Linked DNA regions of Solanum lycopersicum. The protein of the gene in region 1 interacts with the protein of each later gene in a pairwise test. Links are inferred from orthologs where the notes say so. Each region holds a gene or a part of one and is shown in the gene's direction. Other genes may lie near its edges. The genes, in order: GPA1; lanC-like protein GCL2; G-protein coupled receptor 1; regulator of G-protein signaling 1; guanine nucleotide-binding protein subunit beta; protein THYLAKOID FORMATION1, chloroplastic.

What was found.
Region 2: the proteins of GPA1 (region 1) and lanC-like protein GCL2 interact in binary tests that used the Arabidopsis thaliana proteins (3 or more experiments, as listed by UniProt). The link is inferred for Solanum lycopersicum from reciprocal best matches to the Arabidopsis thaliana genes GP ALPHA 1 and GPCR.
Region 3: the proteins of GPA1 (region 1) and G-protein coupled receptor 1 interact in binary tests that used the Arabidopsis thaliana proteins (3 or more experiments, as listed by UniProt). The link is inferred for Solanum lycopersicum from reciprocal best matches to the Arabidopsis thaliana genes GP ALPHA 1 and GCR1.
Region 4: the proteins of GPA1 (region 1) and regulator of G-protein signaling 1 interact in binary tests that used the Arabidopsis thaliana proteins (3 or more experiments, as listed by UniProt). The link is inferred for Solanum lycopersicum from reciprocal best matches to the Arabidopsis thaliana genes GP ALPHA 1 and RGS1.
Region 5: the proteins of GPA1 (region 1) and guanine nucleotide-binding protein subunit beta interact in binary tests that used the Arabidopsis thaliana proteins (3 or more experiments, as listed by UniProt). The link is inferred for Solanum lycopersicum from reciprocal best matches to the Arabidopsis thaliana genes GP ALPHA 1 and AGB1.
Region 6: the proteins of GPA1 (region 1) and protein THYLAKOID FORMATION1, chloroplastic interact in binary tests that used the Arabidopsis thaliana proteins (3 or more experiments, as listed by UniProt). The link is inferred for Solanum lycopersicum from reciprocal best matches to the Arabidopsis thaliana genes GP ALPHA 1 and PSB29.

Annotation. Positions count from the first base shown.
Region 1 is NC_090807.1:49,632,964-49,637,192, reverse strand, and holds the start of GPA1 (guanine nucleotide-binding protein alpha-1 subunit), read left to right. Parts: upstream 1-1,418; 5' UTR 1,419-1,582; intron 1,583-2,737; 5' UTR 2,738-2,811; coding exon 2,812-2,898; intron 2,899-3,020; coding exon 3,021-3,093; intron 3,094-3,531; coding exon 3,532-3,569; intron 3,570-4,229. UniProt on the Arabidopsis thaliana protein: Exhibits a fast rate of basal nucleotide exchange. Guanine nucleotide-binding proteins (G proteins) are involved as modulators or transducers in various transmembrane signaling systems.
Region 2 is NC_090806.1:68,237,498-68,241,567, forward strand, and holds lanC-like protein GCL2, read left to right. Parts: upstream 1-1,255; 5' UTR 1,256-1,421; coding exon 1,422-1,589; intron 1,590-1,679; coding exon 1,680-1,858; intron 1,859-2,588; coding exon 2,589-2,700; intron 2,701-2,773; coding exon 2,774-3,283; intron 3,284-3,436; coding exon 3,437-3,775; 3' UTR 3,776-3,976; downstream 3,977-4,070. Other genes in the region: ultraviolet-B receptor UVR8, read left to right, coding at 81-188, 369-692. UniProt on the Arabidopsis thaliana protein: May play a role in abscisic acid (ABA) signaling.
Region 3 is NC_090807.1:49,764,711-49,767,554, forward strand, and holds the end of G-protein coupled receptor 1, read left to right. Parts: intron 1-12; coding exon 13-156; intron 157-622; coding exon 623-693; intron 694-1,706; coding exon 1,707-1,812; 3' UTR 1,813-2,321; downstream 2,322-2,844. UniProt on the Arabidopsis thaliana protein: Together with GPA1, may regulate the cell cycle via a signaling cascade that uses phosphatidylinositol-specific phospholipase C (PI-PLC) as an effector and inositol 1,4,5-trisphosphate(IP(3)) as a second messenger.
Region 4 is NC_090804.1:8,243,895-8,248,206, reverse strand, and holds the start of regulator of G-protein signaling 1, read left to right. Parts: upstream 1-1,499; 5' UTR 1,500-1,712; coding exon 1,713-1,789; intron 1,790-2,649; exon of another isoform or gene 2,650-2,779; coding exon of another isoform or gene 2,780-3,059; intron 3,060-3,104; coding exon of another isoform or gene 3,105-4,048; exon of another isoform or gene 4,049-4,057; intron 4,058-4,312. Other genes in the region: uncharacterized protein, read left to right, coding at 2,780-3,059, 3,105-4,048.
Region 5 is NC_090800.1:92,555,236-92,558,727, reverse strand, and holds the end of guanine nucleotide-binding protein subunit beta, read left to right. Parts: intron 1-51; coding exon 52-476; intron 477-595; coding exon 596-953; intron 954-1,223; coding exon 1,224-1,337; intron 1,338-2,622; coding exon 2,623-2,658; 3' UTR 2,659-2,982; downstream 2,983-3,492. Other genes in the region: transcription termination factor MTEF1, chloroplastic, read left to right, coding at 3,466-3,492. UniProt on the Arabidopsis thaliana protein: Guanine nucleotide-binding proteins (G proteins) are involved as a modulator or transducer in various transmembrane signaling systems.
Region 6 is NC_090806.1:65,477,052-65,481,201, forward strand, and holds the start of protein THYLAKOID FORMATION1, chloroplastic, read left to right. Parts: upstream 1-1,338; 5' UTR 1,339-1,522; coding exon 1,523-1,712; intron 1,713-2,564; coding exon 2,565-2,832; intron 2,833-4,150. UniProt on the Arabidopsis thaliana protein: Involved in a dynamic process of vesicle-mediated thylakoid membrane biogenesis. Required for the normal organization of vesicles into mature thylakoid stacks and ultimately for leaf development.

The DNA of each region.
Region 1 (4,229 bases):
TTTTTGTGTTTTATTATGATTATTAGAAATTAATTAGATTAATATTTCTATTCAGCTATTTATGTTTTTGCTTGAAATCAGATTTAATAAATATTATATAGATAATTTTATTCTGTATTTGATTAATAAATAGTAACACTAACCCTATGTAATATTATCTTGTCGATACTTATGATAATATTTTTAAATTATAATTTAATTTAAAAAATTATAAAAAGGTGTAAGTTTGAGAAAAGAGGGCTGACTTGGCAAAGGCCGTAGTCCACACATTTGTGAGTTGGACCGACCATTTTCTGGCCCTCACAAAAAATGAACTAGTACGAACATGTCAAATTGCAATGCTCGTATGGATTAGCCTGAATGGAATAATAAGCTAGTCCATATTGACAACTCTAATTAATGAGCCATGTGCAAATATGAAGTACTAGTAATCTACTTCTTTTGTTTTTTTTAGAATAAAAGAAGGGGTATCAAATGAGCGGATTTGGTTAAATTAGAAATATTAAAATGAGTTCAATAGAAATTGGGTTGGGTCTTGACCCGCACAAATTTATCCGATTAATCTCAATAATTTAACATATTGATATTTAATTTTTATAATCACAATTTGAATTTTCGCTTAAGAATTTTTTTTGTTAAAAAAGTAACAAATGGATAGATAAACCCTAAAAGATGTTAGATAAATAATAATTCATACATTCATATAGGAACATATCTTAATAAAAAATTTTAAAACGGGTTGAAATTAGAGATTGAATTGGGCTCAATTAAGAATTCTCTTCAAATAAGTTAAGCTTGAATGGGTTGAGAATCAACCCAATACAAATATCTTGAGTCCAAACCTTAAAATTCTGGACGGATTAGACGGGTTACCTATGTTTGAGTTCACTTTTAACACCCCTAAATAAAAGTGAACAAAAAGAAAAGAAAAGGATATTAAGAATCTTGACCATAAAAATAATTCATACTTTTTTTTATTCTTGAAAATTAATGTTTGATTATAAAAATTTCAAATTTAACTCGAAATTATATTTCAAATTTGGAAAATAATTATAACATGTTTTCAACTTAATTTTCGCTTTAAAGTTTTATTAAAGTACATTCAAATATGAACGCTATTACAAATATTCTTTTGAAAAAAGAAATCAATTCGAGCAAACCCTATTAATTAAGACATTATATGTAAATTATTCCTCTCTTCATTAAAGGTCTTGAATTTGAGGTCTGATTATAAAAAGTTCTTACTAAAAAGTACTATCATTTAAATAGGACTTTATATTACACAAATTTAAAATAATTGAACTTTAATACGAATACCCAAAAAAGAATGAAGATAAGGAAATGAAGCACTAATGTTAACACGTTGCGAAAAACAAAAGAAAAAAGATATAAAAAGTTAAAAATGTTATTTGTTTTTTGGTTAGTCAAAAGTTTGAACCTTGACTCACACTATGGTTAGGTAACACTATTTTCTGTGTCTGTCTTTCTTTTGTCTCTCTATAAAAACATTGTTTCTTTCAGCTTTCTCCCTTTATTTATCTCTCTTTTCATCAGATCAGTGTTTCATCTTCCAGATCCTCTGGTTAGTACAATCTTTAAGTTAATTTATTATCTTTATATATATAAAAATGTAATCTTGCTGGTTCTTTTTTTTTTTTTTTTAAATGGTTAATTTACAAATGTTTTAGGGCTTCTTGTGGTTCAGAATCTAAAAATGTTGATTGTAGTAAATAGATGATTGAATTAATTGTTAAAGTAGAGAAAAATTGGAAGTTGGTAGCTATTTTTAAGCTTTTACACATATATCTTTTATGTATAAATGTTAAGTTTTTGCTTTTTTAAATGTTTTTTTCTGGGGTTAGTTTTTAAAGGTTTTAAGGTTTGAAGTGTTTCAGAATTGAGAATGCTAGTGAGTAGGGTGTTGAATTGACTGTGTTAACTGTAGTTTTATTTATGTTTTCATTTTATTTATTTTGTTGTTGTTATTATTGGAGTGATGGGTAATTTGAGAAGAGGCTGTGTCATCTTGGATGAATTAAAGGGGGTTTTAGTTACTTCTTTGTTATTTTGGAAGTGATTAATTGTAATGTATGGTATAATTTTGAGGTTAACAGTGATAATCCAGCGAAGTTTATTTACGAGTATTGGAATGAGATATATTTGAATAGAGTGAAAGGGGTATAAATGACAGTCGAAATGAACACGTACCAGTTTAACAATGCGACAACATATCCAATATATATATTCCTGCAAGTGGGGTCTGTCAAGGGTAGGTGTACGCAAACCTTGCTCCTACTTTTGCTGGGTAAAGAAGTTGTTTTCGATAGATGCTTGGCTCAAGAAATCATTTTCAAAAAAGATTTGAAAGAAAATAGATGATTCGTGTAGCTGACCCAAATTATTTGCCATTTAGGCTTAGTTGATTAATAATGAGGATTCAACTGCCTTTTGTTTCTTCTCTTTGTGAGTTTCCTTGCAACAATGAAATCCTGAACATAGTTCCCAAGTGATCGTGTGACATTTCCATTGATACATTTGTGTATAATTGCCTTAGTTGACTCTGGGGTTGGAGAAGGGTATCTTGAACTTTTATTGGATTGAGATGCAAACATGGGACAAGGGAGACGTACTTCGATTATTCTGTAGATGCAATTGAACTGCAGTTGCAGTATAGTCTTTTGTGCATAAGTACCTTATTGGCTTATATTTTTTCTGTTAATTGTTTCTCTTTGAAAAGTAGGCATACATGGACATCATAAAGGAGCTGTAACAACAGATTTGAGATCCCTAGTTTAACTATCACACAGGCCTATGCTGTCGGTGGTTTTCGAAAACATGGGCTCGTTGTGCAGCAGAAACAAACACTACAGTCAAGCCGATGATGAGGAAAATACTCAGGTATGAGTTATACGAAATAGATTTGGAATTTGGTATAGTCCATAGTACTGTCTACAAGCTAGGAGAGCGAAAAAAATATCTTACATAACCCCCAGTGTCCTGACTAGATCATGTGTCTTCAGACTGCAGAGATAGAAAGACGGATTGAACAAGAAACAAAGGCAGAGAAGCATATTCAGAAACTTCTTCTACTTGGTAAATAAGGAAAAAAATATAGTCTTCAATTATCATATGATCTAGTAATTTCTTACTTTGTCTTTGCCTTTGCCTTTTCCTTTTATGGTCACCATACCCATGTAGTGATTTATGATGCCTACAAGCTATAGGCATATTCTATTTCTACATTCAGACTTGTTATATTTGAGGAGGCAATTGGTTATGAACTTTGCTTTTCCTCGAAGGTTCTGCTTCATAAGATGCTGGTGGAGGAAGCATAGTGAAAAAAAGATTCTTTGGAATATTGTTGTAGCATAGAGGAACTTCCACCTCTGGATTGACTTATTTGTCGAATTCTTTGTTCTTCCTTGTCTTATAGTATTCTTTTGCCATATTTTAAACTTACTGCTGTGTGTTTGCTGGTTAATGTCCTGTTTGACTGTGCTTGCTGAATGCTGATTTTTCTGTTGTTTCAAGGTGCCGGAGATTCGGGGAAGTCTACGATTTTTAAGCAGGCAAGAGATCTTATAAAATATCTATTAAGATTTCATTACTTTTAAAATGTATATGTTAATGTGTTGAAGTGCGTGACCATCTTATCTAAATGGTTAAGTTTCCACGCATCTTTATTACTTAATTATGTCTTCAACGTGTCGCCACATGTGCCGGATGGATCTAATCAATGTCCGTGAATGATAAATTATAGGTTGAATTGCCGAGCTTGATTCTTTTTGATGAGCCAATCACGTGAACTTTTTTTTTCTGATAATGGATAGTGGTGAGACTCGAATCCAGTGGCGGAGGCAGGGGGTTTAGAATATGAAGAAGTAAACATGTGAAAATTACAAGAAAATAAACGCAGCGAGCGGCGAAGGGCAGGACTTAGCTTAACCCACTAAATTTTAATATGTCTTGTCAATACCCCATTTAACATTTCTTCTTGCTTTTGCCTTTGCTCCGTCAAGCTCTTCTTAGATAAACTTCTTGGCTGTGTCAAATGGATTTATTATGGAATATATACACGCGTAAAAATTAAATTTTATCTGTATATACGGCAAAGGGGGTTCCACCCCTAGCTCTGTCCCTGCTCGAACCCAAGACTTTTGCCTGCTATGATAACGTGTTAAATGTATCATTTCATCTTAAAGTTTAAGTTGTTAGAGAGAAAATTTTTA
Region 2 (4,070 bases), on another chromosome or scaffold:
AAGATGTATGCTAAGAGTTGGTTAACTGCAGAAAAGAATAAAGTGCTGTCACGACTGATGATTGATTTTCGTGATTTCAGGTATATACTTGGGGGAAAGGTTATTGCGGTGCATTGGGGCATGGTGATGAGACTGATAAGACTACTCCGTCACACTTGACCAGCCTTAAGAGCCATCTAGCAGTTCAGGTCTGGCATTCTTTTACTTTTGCTAGTCGATATTACAAAGATCAGTATTAACATTTGGAAACATGAAATAACTCAAATTAGTGTATAACGCAAGTAATATGATACAAAGTAATTCAAGGCTTGTAAAATACATAACAGTCTTCCTCGTCCTAGCTTAATTTTGCCTGCCTCTATTGGTAGGTTTGTGCAAGCAAGAGGAAAACGTTTGTCCTTGTGGACGATGGTTCTGTTTATGGCTTTGGCTGGATGGGTTTTGGTAGCCTCGGATTCCTTGACAGAGGAGCATCAGATAAAGTTTTGAAGCCTCGTATCCTGGAGAGCTTGAGATCCCATCACATATCTCAAATCAGCACTGGCTTATACCACACAGTAGTTGTTACAAATTGTGGACGAGTCTTTGGATTTGGAGACAACGAAAGAGCCCAACTTGGACATGATGCAGTAAGGGGATGTCTTGAACCTACAGAAATGTTTATGGAGAAAGCAATAAGTACAAAATATTGACTGACCAAACAAATATTGTTTCTACATCGTTATATAACATTTCAAAAAATGACTTGAATGTTTTGTGATTAGATCTTTTGTAAAGAACTTTTTTGTTGTATGATACAAAAAAGACAAATCATACATTATTGTCTTCTGAAGTTCATTACAGCCTCTTTCTCATTCCAGCTACAGAAGAGCAGAAAACAACATTAGATCATAGGTACAATTTCTAACCAAAAAAAAAGTTTAGGTATATATCTGTTTGATAATTGTACATATTATATATATGTATTTGTATATATAGCCAGCGAGATTGAGAGAGGGCAGAGAATTAGTTAATGTCTGTGGTCTCAAACTAAAATTTTGCTTTAGATCCCGAATAATATTGAGCATCTTAGACTTCTCCTAAATTGTAAAAGAAATAATTACCAATTAAGTAAAAACAATTTTATAGTCATGTTTGCTAAATAATTATTCGAATTATTAAGGATAATATTTGTTATTTTAATATATTGACCACATCTGATAATTTTAAAAAGTCTATTATCAATAAAATCGAATAAATCATCTATATTTATATGGATATCAATAGCTTGATACACTAAACTAAAACATTCGTGAATAAAGAAAAAAACTTACACTACCCCGGATAGACTTGCTCTGTTCTGTCTTCTGAGAACCACCGGAGCTCTGTTCTTTCCATAAATTTGTTCCGGCGGAGGATTCAACAGAACCGGAAATAAAGAGATGGCAGATCGTTTCTTTCCAAACACCATGCCTAGTTTTGTTGATGAAACTACAGTTAAAGAATCATTTCTTGAAGGAGCAAAAGATCCATTGTTAGAGCTTCTGTATTTGCCTTATGGTACTGTTTGCGACAATCTCAAAAGGGTTGCTTTTGATCTCAAAGAAACGGTAATCACTTCTCTTGAGTATAGAGTGCCTGCTAGGTGTTTGTGTAAATTCCCTGTTTTTTTTTCTAATTTTGATTTTGATATGTTTCAGATTGTGAAGGAGACATGGGTATGTAAAAGGGGAAGAGTGAGTGACTATACAATTTACACTGGAGCTTTAGGAACTGCTTTTTTGTTATTTAAAGCTTACCAAGTTACTCTTGACAAGAATGATCTTGCTCTCTGTTCTGATATTATCAAGGCTTGTGACTCTGCTTCCCGCGGTTCTGGGTACACTCCCTTTGCAAAATTTCACCCTTTTTCCTATGATTTGAGCTAAAATTTGATTTGTGTTGTCTGAAGAAAGATGATAACTTTTTGGTATATGAACATATCTTCTGGTTTTAATTATCCTGCATGAGAAGTCATCTTAATCTTCATGATAAACAATGGCGACCAAAAACTATAACGGTGCTAAGTGTAAGTTCGATCCACATGAAAGGTGTAACGAACTGATCACTGTATTGGTGAGTTGCTCGGTTAATTAGACATGTCTGTGAAGATGACTGGATAAAAAAGACCCTATGAATAAGGAAATAGAAGGTAAAAAAGTTGAAGAGATGAAGAGGAAATTGATACGTTTAGAAGGTTCTGTCCTTTTACATGGGTTGAGTATTAGGGAAAGCCATAGTCTGTTTTTATGTAACCTTAGTTCTAGTTTCAAGTTAAATGTTCTATATTTTTTGTGAGTTTTACTAAACCGTTCACTCAATAATCAAGTAATCTGTTAATATAAATCGGATAGGGAAGACCATGAAGTAAACTAGTTTCCGATCAGATGGGAGTAGACCTGTAAAAGTTGGTTGGATCCCTTGTAGATTGAGTGATGCGGTGGCGGTGGTCAAATGATCCGACCAGACAATCCAATCGAAGTTTCTGTTTCATGATCTCCTCCCACATAGAAACATGTTTTAGGCAAATTACATAACGAGAAGTTGAACTCTAATTTGTGAAACTGCAGGCGTGTGACTTTCATATGTGGACAAGCTGGTGTTTATTCTCTTGGTGCAGTTGTGGCCAAACAGAGCGGGGATGAACAATTGTGTGATCACTATCTGACGAAATTCAAAGAGGTTTTTTTTTTCATTGTTTCGAGCTTTTTCTGTTGATGTCAATAGTCTTCTCATTATCTATCTACAAATGCAGATTGAGCTTCCTAAAGATCTTCCAAATGAGTTGTTGTATGGGAGGGCTGGTTTCTTGTGGGCTTGTTCATTCTTAAACAAAAATATTGGTAGAGAAACAATATCTCCAACCCAAATTGTAAGAAACTTCACAAATTTCAATCACGTATGCTTCCTCATTATGAATGGCTCTTTATTTCTTCGGAATTTTTTTATGCAGCGAGCAGTTGTTGCTGAGGTTATAAAGTCCGGACGAAAAATGGGGAAAGGAAAATGTCCACTGATGTATGAATGGCATGGAAAAAGATACTGGGGTGCTGCTCATGGACTAGCTGGGATAATGCATGTACTTATGGACATGGAACTGAAAGCAGATGAGGTCGAGGATGTGAAGGCTACACTGCATTACATGATCCGAAATCGTTTTCCTAGTGGAAATTACCCCTCAAGTGAAGGAAGTGAATCTGACCGACTTGTGCATTGGTGTCATGGTGCTCCAGGTGTTGCCCTTACTCTAATCAAAGCAGCTAAGGTATGGACTATGGAGTAATACCTTGCACAGACACAGTAATCTTGATGTTAGTTCCTAATAGTTACTATATAAAACTCCTCAATCCGCGTAGACATGAGATGAAATGCGTGATCCTGGAAGGGCTTTCTGCTCATCATTGTCGTAACTTTTCAGGTTTTCAGCAATGACGAGTTTCTGCAGGCAGCTATAGAAGCAGCTGAGGTGATTTGGAATCGAGGCTTACTCAAACGAGTTGGAATATGTCACGGTGTTAGTGGAAATTCCTATGTCTTTCTTTCACTGTATCGTTTGACAGGTAAAGTTGAGTATTTGTACAAGGCAAAGGCCTTCGCGTGCTTTCTGCACGCTAGAGCTCAAATACTTGTATCAGAGGGAGTTATGCATGGAGGTGATCGTCCATACTCGTTGTTTGAAGGAATGGGAGGAATGGCTTATCTCTTTTTCGACATGATAGATCCAATAGAAACAAGGTTCCCTGCTTATGAACTCTAGTTTTGTACATACAGAAAATGAACACAATCACTCTAGTTTTGTACATACAGAATGAACATGTTGTGGGTTGTAGAATTAGCTATGTTAATCTTTTTTATGTAAGGTAGATGTATTATCATATGATGTATTGTTAAAAGGTAACGTGAAACATTCTATCTTATCATACTCTAATAAGTTGTATAGAAAAGTAAATTACAAAAATTTCACCTCAAAAACTTATTTATTAAGATGGATAAGTACTAAACTTGTTCGGTAGACTAATATGGCCTATGGGATTTAAATTATACCTTTGACC
Region 3 (2,844 bases), about 130 kb from region 1:
GACATCTCGCAGGCACTGAATCGTTGGGGTTACTATCCCCTCATTCTTATTGGATCATGGTTTTTCGGTACAATCAACCGTATACATGACGTTATTGAACCAGGTCATAAGATCTTTTGGCTTTCTGTTCTTGATGTTGGAATGGCACAGCTCATGGTAAATTCTATTATCTATAGATGAATTCTCTCTTTTCTCTTTTCTTTGATGTGCTTGGGTAAGGTGCGTGGTGGGAACTTCCACTCTTTGATAAGTATTTTATTCCGTTGTTACCATATAGATTGCAAGCAGGTATAGACATGTTGGTAACTAGTGTTAACAATCAAAACCTCTCTGGATAGAATGACTTGGATCCATCAAGCTTATCCACAGAATGTCAAGAGCGATGCCGCCAAGTGTTTACTTTAATTAGTTGGTGATATTCTGAATTGGTTACATTGTTTAATCAACAAAAAAGTTGATTAGTTTAGTTTAAGTGTCTGTATCCATGAATTGGTGGGATTCTCAGTTGATAGGAACTTATCTCTGACTTTATGTTGATGCTTAGTTTTGATCTACTTTCCTTTTAACAACTCTGACACTAAAGATATTTTCTTCCTTGACAAATCTTCTATGCTCTGTTTAGGGTCTCTTCAACTCAATAGCATATGGCCTTAACAGCTCAGTCCGTAGAGCAATTTACGAGAGATTGGATCTGTAAGTCTGTTCATTTTTACACAAAATTTTTGCAACAGTAAGTGTTCTATAGCCCTAGAAAAGGGGGTGGGGGGTGGGGGAGGGGGGACATGTAACATACGTTTGGTTCCATCTTTTTCCCTTCTTTCCTTTATCCTGGGTAGTGCCAATGCTAATATGCTTGTTTGTTTCATCAGTAGTCATTTGGTTTCAAGAGACTGTATCTTCGTTAAAAACTTAAAAATTGCTTGTCTTTTCTCCTAATGTCAAAGAGCCTTTGTTCAATATTTTAATAGAGTTGGTTAAGTTGTCCTTGTTGCATGATCATTACTCTATCTGTCTCAATTTATGTGATGCACTTTAACTTGGTAAGAGTTTAAGAAAGAAAAATGTAAAACTCACAAACAGAATGAATAGATCGAACTGAACTACAGTGGAGATTCTACTATTCTCAATCTGAAATGGAGAAAGAAGAAGAGAGCAATCTGAGGGAGTACGATAGAATGGGAATCTCAAAACCTATTGCTGTAATCAAAGAACATTGTATACAAAGAATTAGTAACCGACTAATCTAACTAATATTGAAAACTAACTGAGATGACAGTTAGTTGTAACTAACTGTGACTTATCCCGACTCTCAGCTAACTAAGGTACAGTGAATTAAAAGCTAAATGTACAAATATATTAGTTATGTAGCTCTTAATAAAACATTTTTGAAACATGTTTAAAACAAGTCATCGATATCTGTGTAAACCATAAATCATGTCATTATATAATGAGAAGTTTAAATTTTATAGTAAGTTGTTTCTATGCTTAAAAAAAGTACCAGTACTTTTGGGACAAACTAAAAAAAGAAGTGCATCACTAGGAAGCTATATTCTAAAGAACAATAATAAAAAAATTATACCTACTGAATGTCCTCATTACATTTCTCTGAAGCGATGAAAATGCACAGTAGTTTCTAACTTCTTATTACTCAATCACCTTAGTGTTGTTTCTCCTAAGTTTATGTTTTAATGTGTATCATTTTCCAGGTTACCTGAATGGTCTCAAAGATGGCTTCCTAAGAGCTCAAGGTCAAGAGGCCAACAACAAGACGACAGTGAATTAGTCTCTCTAAAGATTCAAGATCAGCAATAACAATTTTATGCTTGTACAGTCATCTCAATGATTCTGCCGCCCTTTTCATAATTGGACCAGATTGACAATTGATAACTACATTGTGACAGACAGGGATGCTCTCCATTGCTTCAGCCCGGGTTTTGTGCTCACATACGTTTACTGATCCATCTATGCACCATATGCTAATTGCTTGTTGCTCCTTTTTGATTGCTCGAGCATACTAATGCACCTACTTTGTTATTGATACCGAAGAATGTTAGTGTGATCAATAGATTACATATGATCTGATATGGGCTGATGCTAAGTCTTCTGATATAGGCAAGGCATACTGTATGTTTATTGATGTATCGAAACAGAGAACATTTGTTTACTGATTTATTTGTTATGTCTATTCGATCTACTACAGTTATTGGCTCTTGCTACTTATCTTCTCTAACTCTGCATAGACTTTCCTTTCCAGTTTGTTTGGATGGTTAGCAATTGTATTGTATTGTACAATATAATATTTATTTTGATTTTTACTGAAATTTTATTGTATTATATTACTAAATTCATCATTGCATATTGACAAGAAGTTCCATTTTATGTATCGATTGCTTTGGTGTATGTGTCCTCACCTTCTTTGAGTTAATTTTGGTTTGTTTAGGAATAAAGAAAGATTTGGCTTTCTCCTAAGGGGAAACTATGCCTATCAAAGCAAAATAACTACAGATAAATACTCCTTCACGGTTGATACCCCAAATTTTTGTATTTCACAGTTTTCCATCTTCCCCAATTCTTAAAGCAAAATACTTACAAATAAATATTTTACGGTTATAAAATAAATAGCTAATAAACTAATAATAATAAACTAAAATAAGAACAAATAAAGAGAGTGTATATTGATGTATGCCAAACTTTTTTCTTATTTATATTTGAAAATGTACTACCGATTTATAGTGGTAATTGGAAAGGTGAAACTGGATCATAATTTGCCAAGTGTTGATGGTGTCCACATGTCATACGTATTTGTTTTACAAGTAACTTATATCTGGCAATGGTATATTTGCC
Region 4 (4,312 bases), on another chromosome or scaffold:
CATCGACTGATAAAAGAGAACGTTGTTGACTAATCTTAGGCTCCTTCCTAACATAGATTTCAAGTTTTGTTAACTTGATTTGATCTATATAGTCATTTAGAACCCTCAAAAAGTCGGTCAACGATTCATCATTATAGATAATTCACTCTCCAAAATTTACTTGTCCTTGTGATAAAAATGAAGTAGGGTATTTTCCGGCTATAATCAAATTATAATCGTACTGTTTTTACCTTTTTTTTTATCAATTTATGATATCAGACATTTATTGGATATTTAGCATTGTGTTTGGGAGGACAATTATAATAAACGGTATTTCTGTCATGTATAATTTCGCCATTCCAATAAATTGAAACTTAACTTAAGGTGTAGAAGACATTTTTTTAGATAGAAATGAACAAATATAGAAGACTTTATGTTGTAAGTGCTATCAACTATGTATAAACGTCCTTAAATAGATTTTTCAGAATTAAAAATAAAAATACATAATGAAATATTCTTTTCCATTTTAATGATATATCAAATCAATATAATTTATATGACAACACTGAAAAAACTTCTTCAAGACGTGAAAAATATTCTTCTTATAAAGTGTAATAAAAAGTTTCACTTTATAAAGTAGAATAAAAAGTTCCACTTTATAAAGTGAAAGAAAAAACTCCACTTTATAAAGTGGAAGAAAATGTTCCATTATATATTAAAAATAAACGTTATGAAACTAACGGAAAACGTTTAGATTATTGGATATAGTGAAACTTTTTGTTCCACTAAGTTTATTTTAGTTACTTACTAAAATAGTGACTTATTTTCGTTACTTTTATATTTTTGTAGCTTATTTTGGTTCCAACTCCAAATAAGAGCATCTACTACTACTAATAACATAAATATTGTTAGCAAGTCCTTGTTTTCTATTATTGCTGAAATAGTTTTTTTTTTAAAAATAATAAAGACAACGGAAAATTATACTATTTATACATAATTAAAATAATTTTTTTATGTATATATAGTAGATGTCGAACCCCCTTCGGCTAATCCATATGTCTAACTTTACGAATCGTAAACCTCCTTATTGAAAATCCTGGCTCCACCACTAGTCGAATCTCTTTCGATTACTTCATGTATCTATTTTTTCAGATTTTAAACTCCTTATTAAAAATCCTAACTCCACTGTATATGATGGTAATATATGTCTAATTACGTAATTTTTCCTATTTAAAAGTATTTACTAAATTTCCAAAATTTCTTGTTAATTTAAATTAAGAAAGCAAATCGAAACAAATAAATAATATGATTTTTTTAAATTTTTCATCCGATGTCCAGTATTCACATTGAAGTCCAACTAAATTCGAAATACATTGAAGGTAAAACACTATCTAATAAAGACAATTCCTTATTCAAAAATGCTCAAATCCGAGACCTTTTAATTAAAAATGAAGAAGTACTTATCACTCTATCACATGAGTGATTCGTTATATTAATATAATTGATTTACATATGGTTGTGTGTAAGGTCAAAAATAGTGGCTTAGGACAATTAAACGAATTCTTTAACATGCTAACATTTCCCATGTACTTTACTAAATAAATATGGTTGATTTCTGCTGACTAAACTGAAGTTAGTGTAAACACATGTCGGCCTCCTCCTTCTCATAGACATTTCTACAAACAGTTGATGGGCATAACAGAGGCAGCAACTAAACTGTAGGGAGAATAAAGATGGCAGCTTGTTCTAGCAAAGGAGGGTGCCCAAGTGACTATATAGCGCTTTCAGCTGCTCTACTGTCCATGATCTTGTAAGTTCTCTGAATTTTTTTTTTGCTGGTTGTGGAAATTGTGAAGTCAAATACTTGTGGTTTGTGTTTTTCTTGCTGTTTCTGATTGATAGGTATGCAATCTTGGACAAATTGAAAGACATTTTTTTTTCTTTGATATTGTAATGAATTTGGATTTTGTTCGGAACGATTTCTTCTCTTTGTCAATAAGGCTGATAAAAGATGGAAAAGATCAAACTTTGGAATATGAAGCAAGATTGGCCTCCTTTTTGATTAATCAGTTTGATGAAGGGGTGAAGAAAGTTGACATATAAGGATTTTTTGTGTTCACAAAATTTATTTACTTCTAATTAGGTCAATGAATTAGGGGTTGGAAGATTGTACGTCTCTAGAGCTTGCTTTGCGTTTATTTGCCTTGCTTTCACTTGTCTTCTTCCCACTTAAGTATGACAATGGGGCAAGAAGGGGAAGTATAACAAGGACGTGCATAGTGTCGGTGTTATGAAGTGAAGATCAGTGAAGCGAGGTGGGGATTCGATATCGGAACAAGGCGACAGCAGTAACTGTAGTAACTGAAATTTGGAAGAAGGAACTATCGTTAGAAAGGAACGGCTAGGATTTAATGAGAAGCGATGGTGAGGATGATGCCACGTAGATTGAAGGTGGTTATATAATAGTGGTTAGAGGAGAGAGAAGTATAACAAACTATTGGGAAAAGTCACGTTTCTTTCCTCTCTTCTTCTCACGTTCCCTTTCTTTCTGTTTCTCTGTTCTCTTCTATCTTCTTTCTCTGTACTTCCTTTTGTTCTCATCCTTCTTCTTCATTTTGCATTTACAGCTTTTCTATGGAGGTTACGAAGTTCTTAGTTGATAGTTCATTACGTGTAATTGAGACTTCCTATTATCAATAAAGTTGGTCTGGTTTCTGTGATTTTCAATTCAAATTGTAAATTGAATTTGTGGTCTTATTAAGGTCATAACAGTTGGTATCAGAGCCTTCGAACCTGTGTGATGGTTGAGGGTACACGTTGGAAAATTACAGAGGATAAGCTAACAAGACACGATGAAATGCTAGCTGATCTGCTGAATTCACAAGAGGAAGTACGTCATGCTCAAACTGGAATTCAAGGAACATTGGACTTAATTTTGGAGAGATTGGGAGTGTTGGAGAGAGCTCAAGTGGTTCCGAATGTGGGAGCAGGTTTACTACCTATTCCAAATGTGGATAATCGCAACAGAGCTCAGCCGAATGCAGTGACGTTACCTAGGTGGGAGTTACCTTATTTCGCAGGTTCCTAAGTGACGTTACCTAGGTGGGAGTTACCTTATTTCGCAGGTCAGGAACCGAAGGTGTGGATCCGAAAGTGTGATAGATTTTTTACACAGTACAGAGTGGGCAATGAACAGAGGGTAGAAATGGCTACGTTGTATTTGACCGATGCAGCCGAAGTGTGGTATCAGTCGATGGTGTTAAGTGGAGGAATACCGAATTGGATTGAGTTTAAAGAGGATTTGATAAGTAGGTTTGGGGAAATTGTAGTGAGTGATGTGGTGGAAGAATTTAATAAATTGCAACAGATCGGAACTGTGGAAGAGTTTTTAGGACGATTTGAGGATCTAAAAGCTCAAATGCTTATACGAAATCCGGCTTTGAATGAAGCTCACTTCCTATCTAGTTTCGTTGGAGCACTAAAAGAGGAGATCAAATTAGAGGTGAAAATGTTCAAACCGAGGACATTGAAAGAAGCTGCAGAGAAAGCGAGAATGAAGGAAATGGCAATTGAAGCTGGCCGAAGGAGAAACAGAGTAGCAAACCGAGTGTTGCCGGCAGCTGTACAAGGAGTAGGAAAAACATCTACTGCTATGGTTAATAGGAATGGACCTTATCGGCTTACTCCTGAGATTTACGAGTTTAGGAAGTCGAATCACTTGTGTTTCCTATGTGGAGAGAAATATGGTCCGGGACATACTTGTAAAGTAAGGCAGTTGAATTATTTGACTGGTTTCGTTGAGGGTGATAAAGAAGGCGATCAAGTTTCAGAATTGGATGAAAATGAAGACATCACCATTGAAGGAGTAGTTGAACAGGAGGTACAACAAGCTGTTTGTTTAAATACACTGACGGGCCATAATATGGGAGAAAATACAATTCTGGTGGGAGGAACTGTTAAGAAGAGACATTTGGCAATACTGATTGATTCGGGAAGCACTCATAGTTTCATCGACAAGCATACATTAGCTGCATCGGGTTATAAGCCTCAGCCTTGTTCGCCTGTATGAGTAACTGTGGCGGATGGCAATTATGTAATGTGTAATTCTCATTGTAGAGGGTTTTGTGGAAAATGCAGGAAAGAATTTTCATGGACGATTTGCTCATTATTTCTTTGGGAGGCTGTGCTTTGGTGTTGGGAAACGACTGGATGAAGAAACATAATCCAACTAAGTTCGATCATGAGAGGAAGTGTGTGACTATAGGAAGGAAGGCTAATAAGTTGGTGCTGCCAGGAATAGCAGGAGAAGGTAGTTTGAATATGCTATCTACTG
Region 5 (3,492 bases), on another chromosome or scaffold:
TACTTCGTAACTGTGAAGTTGTATTACCAATTTTTTAAAAATATTTTGCAGGTCTATTCACTGGACTGGACTCCTGAAAAAAATCGTATAGTTAGTGCATCCCAAGATGGTAGATTAATAGTGTGGAATGCTCTGACAAGCCAGAAAACCCATGCAATTAAGCTTCCATGTGCTTGGGTTATGACCTGTGCCTTCTCTCCTAGTGGACAGTCTGTTGCTTGTGGCGGCCTTGACAGTGCCTGCTCTATCTTCAACTTAAATTCACCAATCGATAAGGATGGGATCCATCCAGTATCGAGAATGCTTAGTGGGCATAAGGGGTATGTGTCTTCGTGTCAGTATGTTCCGGATGAGGATACTCACCTAATAACTAGTTCTGGTGATCAAACATGTGTACTTTGGGATATAACTACTGGCTTAAGAACTTCTGTGTTTGGGGGTGAGTTTCAATCTGGGCACACTGCAGATGTATTAAGGTAAGCTGTTGTATGGGCTATGCAATTATGCTCTCTTTGTCCTTAAATTTTGCAGTATGTTTAGCGTATCTTCTGCTTGTATATTGGGAAGCAATCTTATTTCTTTTCCATTTATCCAGTGTCTCAATTAGTTCATCTAACCCTAGACTGTTTGTGTCTGGGTCCTGTGACACAACTGCTCGACTGTGGGACACCCGAGTTGCTAGTCGAGCTCAACGAACATTTCATGGACACGAGAGTGATGTCAATACTGTAAAGTTCTTCCCTGATGGTAATAGATTTGGAACTGGTTCAGATGATGGAAGCTGCAGATTATTTGATATTAGGACTGGACACCAGCTGCAAGTATACAACCAACCGCATGGTGACGGTGACATCCCTCATGTTACTTCCATGGCATTTTCTATCTCAGGCCGTCTTCTCTTTGTCGGGTACTCTAATGGTGATTGTTACGTGTGGGACACCCTATTAGCAAAGGTACAACAAAGTTACATCTTGCTTTTTAACTCATTTCTCCAAAACGTTCTTCTATCATTCTAAACATTATCTAGTTAGCAAACATTTTGAGGCAATGCGTGATCCAAGCATACTCAATCTCTTCTTTTTTAGTAGGTAACATTTAAATTTATTATTACCATTTTCCTTTCCAGATTTCCTTTTCATTTTGATTGTTTGTACATATTTATGATGTCTTTGTTCTTATCTGACATCAGCTTGATTTCTTGCTGTTATGCTTTGAATCAATAGGTGGTCCTAAACTTAAGATCAGTTCAAAACTCACATGAAGGGCGAATAAGTTGTCTGGGACTGTCAGCTGACGGAAGTGCCTTATGTACAGGAAGTTGGGATACAAACCTGAAGGTAAGCTTTACAGTGGTTTTCTCTTCCTAATGAACAAGAAACTACATTATGGTTTTAAGCATCAAACCAAATTCTAATGAGATGAAGAAATCTAAGAAGTTTAGAACCATTAATTACAGAATTTATGTGTGTGAGGAAAGAACTTATACAAATAATGGATGGTAGCTCCTACATTTCCCCAAGTTCTTACGTGGATGAGAAACACATATCATATTTTTAAATCCATGACTGAGATTGGTTAATTAAACAAGGTCCTAATCATGGTTAGAGTAATAAATATTTCCATATCTGATATCTGAACTTTCCTCTCTTTAGCTAAATTCATGTCCTAACATTGTTATTTTCACAGAATGTATTTACTTTTGTTATTGCCACTCCATACCAACTGAATTCCTACCCTGTGTTTTAAGCTTTTACTATATTTTATATTCACAAAATGGATTTGCTTTGAGGTTTTCTTGTTTCCGTTTATATATACATGGTCAATAGCTAGTAATATTCTGAATACTGAATTTGTATTCACTTCTTCGTTGGAAACACAAGGTCATGATATGTTAAATATTACTAATCAAACAAATTTGAATTTTTAGCAAATTTAAGGCCCTTCATTGGTGATACAATTTTTTTTTCAATATATGAAATATATAGGCACTATAAGGGTTAGAGTTTGGAGGTTAGAAATTTAGAAAACCAGAGTTGAGAACAAGGATAGAAGTCTTAATATATTTATGGGTGAGATATGCATTGAGATTGACAAATTCTTTTGAAGCAAAAATACATGGAATATCTACTATTCAATCATGGTTAAAGTCTTGCTTACTACAACTACTAGCCTGTTATATGAATCCCCACTTCTTTGTTTAAGCTTATCATATCCTCATTATCGAACACATTGATAGAAGTTCAATTCAGCATATAATCTAAACCATTAATTTAAAATGAGACATCTGTTCCCCATCCAAGTGAGAACATGAAGAAATGAAGAAGAGCCAAATCCACAAATAAATAACCCTATTCCACTTCTCAGTGAGAACTATTCAGGAACCAGTACCTTGAAATTTTGGGGCCTCAGTTTTGTGTTTTGGACTAGCCTGCATAGCGGTCAGCCTTGAATATCAAATAATTACTTAAAAGAAAAGAATTACAATCAATTATTTACAATCAAGGATACCCATCTCTATCTCTTTTATTTTCTCTGCAATAGATTTATCCGACTCTTCACAGTTCAGTTTCCCATGTATTCCACCATTAAAACAAGATCTTAATTTCTTTGTTTCTTTGGCAGATTTGGGCTTTTGGAGGACACAGAAGTGTGATCTGAGTTGTGAAACACCTCATCCTGTTATTTATCTCCAGTCCCTCTTCATTCTCATTTTCTTTCATGGCCAGCCCGTGGGTTCGCGATTTCTTTTGGCATCTTCATAACCTGTAGATCTTTTTAAATCTAGTTAATATTTCTGTCAGATAAACCAAATTGTTTCCACATGAATCTGACATATATTACTAGACCAGCACCAGTTGTAAAAAATAACCTGTTTGTTGTCAAAAATTCTCTGATGATTTCAGCTGCTTATGTAATTAAAATTCTTTTTAAAAAAAATCTTGAGGAATGAAAACAAGCTTTACTTTTGCCACCATCAAAGAACTGTTGTAATATCGGAATTCTTAGTTTGACAGAAAAGCCCAGGCATAAACTTTTTCCTTTTCCTCAATGTTCGTATTTATTCTCCTCCAGCTTCATTGTTTCCATTAACAAGTGTGTTTTTTTTTCATCTTTTTGTAAAAATGATCATTGTGTTCAGGCTTTCTATCATATTTGAGAATTCTCTGTGCTGGTAATATTGTTAGCTTGTTTGTAATGGCACAATGGTAAAATTGCTTCTTTCCTTTTACAGGTAAAACGAAGTGCATTTTGGCACTCTAAGGTGTGACATTGTAGTTGATGATTTAATTCTCGTAGAGGCAAAAATTAGGTTACTTTTCCTAATCCAATCGAGAGCAGAAGGCATAATTTTTAATTAGTAAAACTGTCGAGTAATATTGGTTTTGTGAACAATTTGGGAGGGAAGAAGTACATTGATGGCATATAAATATGTGGAGCCACATGACAAATAGACAATGTAGATACATGTGGCTAAAAGAAGCTATGTTTCTT
Region 6 (4,150 bases), on another chromosome or scaffold:
AGTTATAGTTTGGAATATATAAAAAATAAAATAAAGAAGTTAGGTTTTGGGATAATATAGTTTAATTATGAATTAATTAATAGGCCCTTTGCTGCTCGAGTTCACATCATGTTGGCATTTTCCTACATGCATTATTTTGGCAAATGTTTTGGAAAAGGTATTATAGCATATATGCTTGTGGAAATTAATCTTAACAATAAAGTTGTATGGTTCAATTATTATTAAAATTTTATATTCTCATGGTCTGAAAATATAGTCCCATATGGGCCATGGACTGAAAAAATGGAGTATGATCACAGTTGCATCAATCAGCAATGTGACGAAAGTTTTTGATTCTGGGCCTGCTGTATGAGCATTTTGGCACGGGTGTGCTTAGGGGCTCAACGCGTAACCCCAAATTATAATTTCAATGTATATAGTTAGAGTTGAATATGAGTTAATTTTGTATTTTGTCATTAATGTAAAATTCTATATCCATATATCCATATAGTATATTTCATTAGTAAAATCTGAAAAGAATAGAATATTTACGTTTTAAATACTATGAATAGATGGAAAAATAAACAAGTGAGGCTTCAAGCAGAGTTTGCTAAAAGGACTCAGAGCCACTCAAACAAGTTCCTTTTATATTTTCCTTAAAGCAATGCATTTTCCCAAAATATAATGCTTTTCAAATTAAATAAAGAATTAATACATCATACATTCATTGTTCTCTCTTTTATTTAAGGTGTGATTAAATTTTAGAAGACAATTTTCCCATTAAGTATCATTTTAAAAATTTGAATCCTCATCCATATGAAATAAAAAAAAGTATCAATATAACAGCATGTCAAAATGACCTTTCTGGCTATCTCCAGTTACTAACTTGGTGATTCTCTGGGACTTCTATTTCTTTTCTTAGACATAAATCAATTTTCAGTAGTAAATTGCGAAACTATTATGGGAGTAAATTACTTTTTGTTGTGATGATAATTATTTTAAAATTATAAATGTAAATTCGTTTAAATAATTAGTAATGTCTGATTTACTATGAATTGGTTTCTCACCATTTAAATCGATATTTCTCACATTCAATCTAAAACTTTATTATTTTTAATTGAAAAATTAATTTAATCATAATTAAAAACTTAATTTTTTATCGTATTTATCTGACCTGACTATCATGTTCAAATTTATAGCTACTATTCTTTGAATTTGATTGATAAGTCTATTAAGATACCAAACTACACCACCACTTGGCATCTAGCTTACAAGTTACAATAATCGTTCGTAACCACAAAAAGGAGTAGTACACAACGGATTCAATCAGTACACGTGTTGTGATATTATTCGTCTATTGATAAACATTAAATATGAAAATGAAATATCCTAAAAGCCATCGGATAAGCCCTCAAATCCAAACCTCACACTCCATTTCTCCTTTCTCCATTTTTCACAGAAAAAATTGAAATGGAATACAACTCTATTCTCTAAAGCAACCAACAGTTTCTTCTTCTTCCTCTTCTTCTTCACCGGTAGAAATATGGCGGCTGTTACTTCAGTATCTTTCTCGGCGATTACTCAATCGGCGGAAAGGAAATCCTCCGTTTCTTCGTCTCGTTCTATTGATACATTTAGGTTCCGTTCCAACTTCTCCTTTGATTCCGTCAATGTTCGATCTTCCAATTCCACCTCTCGCTTTGTCGTTCATTGCACGTCCAGTTCAGCTGCAGGCAAGTTCTCTTTATTGCTTCGAATTTGAATTAGGAAAAATTAAACTATACAGTAACTTTTTTTCATCTAATTTCTGTTTTAGTTTAATTTCTCAGCTAATTGCATGATTCTGTATGTGTAATGTTACAATTGCTTAACTAGTTACTATTTGTTATATGAAATGCATAAAGGTTGAATTTGGATCTAGATATAGTGTATGCGGATGTTTTCTCGTTGGAATTGCTTATATGTTATTTGAAGTATTGAGAATATTTTACAGTTATATACTCTCTACATTCTGCCTTATATAGATGTTTTACACTGTTCCATTTTTGTACAACTTTTAGAACTTTCACGAATTTAAATGCATTAACCTATTCCTGTTATTAACTTTGGTGTGAGATTTTTTTGATCATATAAGTTCTTGACCATTGCTTAAATATTTGTTAGCTCCCTAATTAGCTTACAGGATGATTCATTCATGATATTACTTTTGTAATGCAGTGTAAATTAAATGACCTTACTTCTTCAAAAAGAATTATCAAGTACATATACTAGTCAAATTAACATATTAGACTCCATGTTCATACTAATAACATTGTATAAAATGGATTGGAGGGAGTACTATTTATTGCTAATGAAAGTTGAATTAACTTGTTAAGGGGGAAAACATGGATATTGAACTAACAGATAAAGTAAAGTTTTCTCCTGTTTAATATTTCTGTCTACATTCATGCAGCTGCCCGCGTTTTCTGCATTCACATTTTTCGTCTAATTTCTTTCTCGTTATTTATTCAGTTCTATCTTAGTGATTTTTCAAGTGTTTATGTTATGAGGTAATAATGCAGCGTGTTATATTGAACTGTTTCCAGATTTGCCAACTGTTGCTGACACTAAAATGAAGTTTTTGACCGCTTACAAGCGACCAATTCCAACTGTCTACAACACAGTGTTACAAGAGCTAATCGTGCAACAACATTTGACAAGGTACAAGAAATCCTACCAATATGATCCTGTGTTCGCCCTAGGTTTTGTTACTGTGTATGATCAACTTATGGAGGGCTACCCCAGTGAAGAGGATCGTAATGCTATCTTCAAAGCATATGTAGAGGCGCTAAAGGAGGATCCTGAGCAATACAGGCATGCTTAATCCATCTCTTGCCACTTTTTGTTGCTTTTTACTCCTTTTTTGTTTATAGGCACACAAATAATTTTTTATAAGTGACGGGATGCTTGCATTGAGCTTTCCAGTAAGGTAGTTTTAGATAAAATATAAGTTTAATTATCATTAAGATTTTCTTGGAGAATGGAACCAAAACCCAAGATGAACAGGCTTAGCCGTATTATGGAGTTTGAGAAATGCAGGTGTATGATTTCTCAATGAATGGAAGTGCTATTCAGAATTAGCTGTAGAACCCCTTGATCAACTTTTATTTACTAAGAGGTAGCTCACTGTTATCCTTAATCTAACAGTATCTTCCTGGGCTTACGAAGAGGAACCCATGATTAAACTGAATAAAGTAACCCCATTCTGAAGTGGATATGTCTATTATAAGTTTTTTAACCAAGAGATTACATTGGATGAGATTGATCGAGCAAATTATACATTTTCCACTTGTAGAGTGTCATGAGACCATTTTAGAGCCACGACTGACACCTGGTATGTTCTGACCTGACTAACGTAACCCATGCCTCTCAAAACAATCTCAACTTATAGAGTAGGTTTCATAACCAAACTTCGTACATGCTTAGCAAAACCCAAATATAGTGCAACTACTCTCAAGTTCTGAACATAGTATGGAAAATTCTCAATCATGATTCACCCAAAATGCTAGAATAAGAAATTAGATTGATGAAAAGAGTTGAATCATAAGTACATCTTTATATACTAGATAGAATACCAGGGAGAGCCTTTCTCGCGGTAGCCAAAAGTGTCAATCTTTATCTTGTTAAGATAATTCTAATATTGTTCTAGAGTTTGCTCTATGTACTCCATCAAAAGGTTAGGTTAGTGATATAGAAATAGGCGTCTCCTATTTCACTAAAGAAGACTTATCTAGTGTAAATGCAAATCTTTGCCTTAGGAATGAAGAAGATGTTCAACTGTAAGAGGTAATTGTTTAAGACTAAAACCATGTGGCCTATGAATTGAAGTAGATTATGTCTCTTATGCCTTGAAGAAACAAACACAGAAATATAATGCTGGGAGCAGAAAAAATCCAAGGACCTTAATCTTTAGTGACTAGAGGTTAAGGTGTTGATTTCCATTCAAACAGAGACTATCTGATTTTATTATACTGAACTGTGCCACAGTTTTTGTGGCTTTTTTTCTTTTCTTTTTATAGTTACAAAAAAAAAAAAGAAGCTTGCCACAAAAGCTCAAGCCTTAGAATTCTTTGTTAAAAAGGTAGATTGTAATTTGAGGTGGCTATATTTTAGCTAAAAATGAACCAACCAA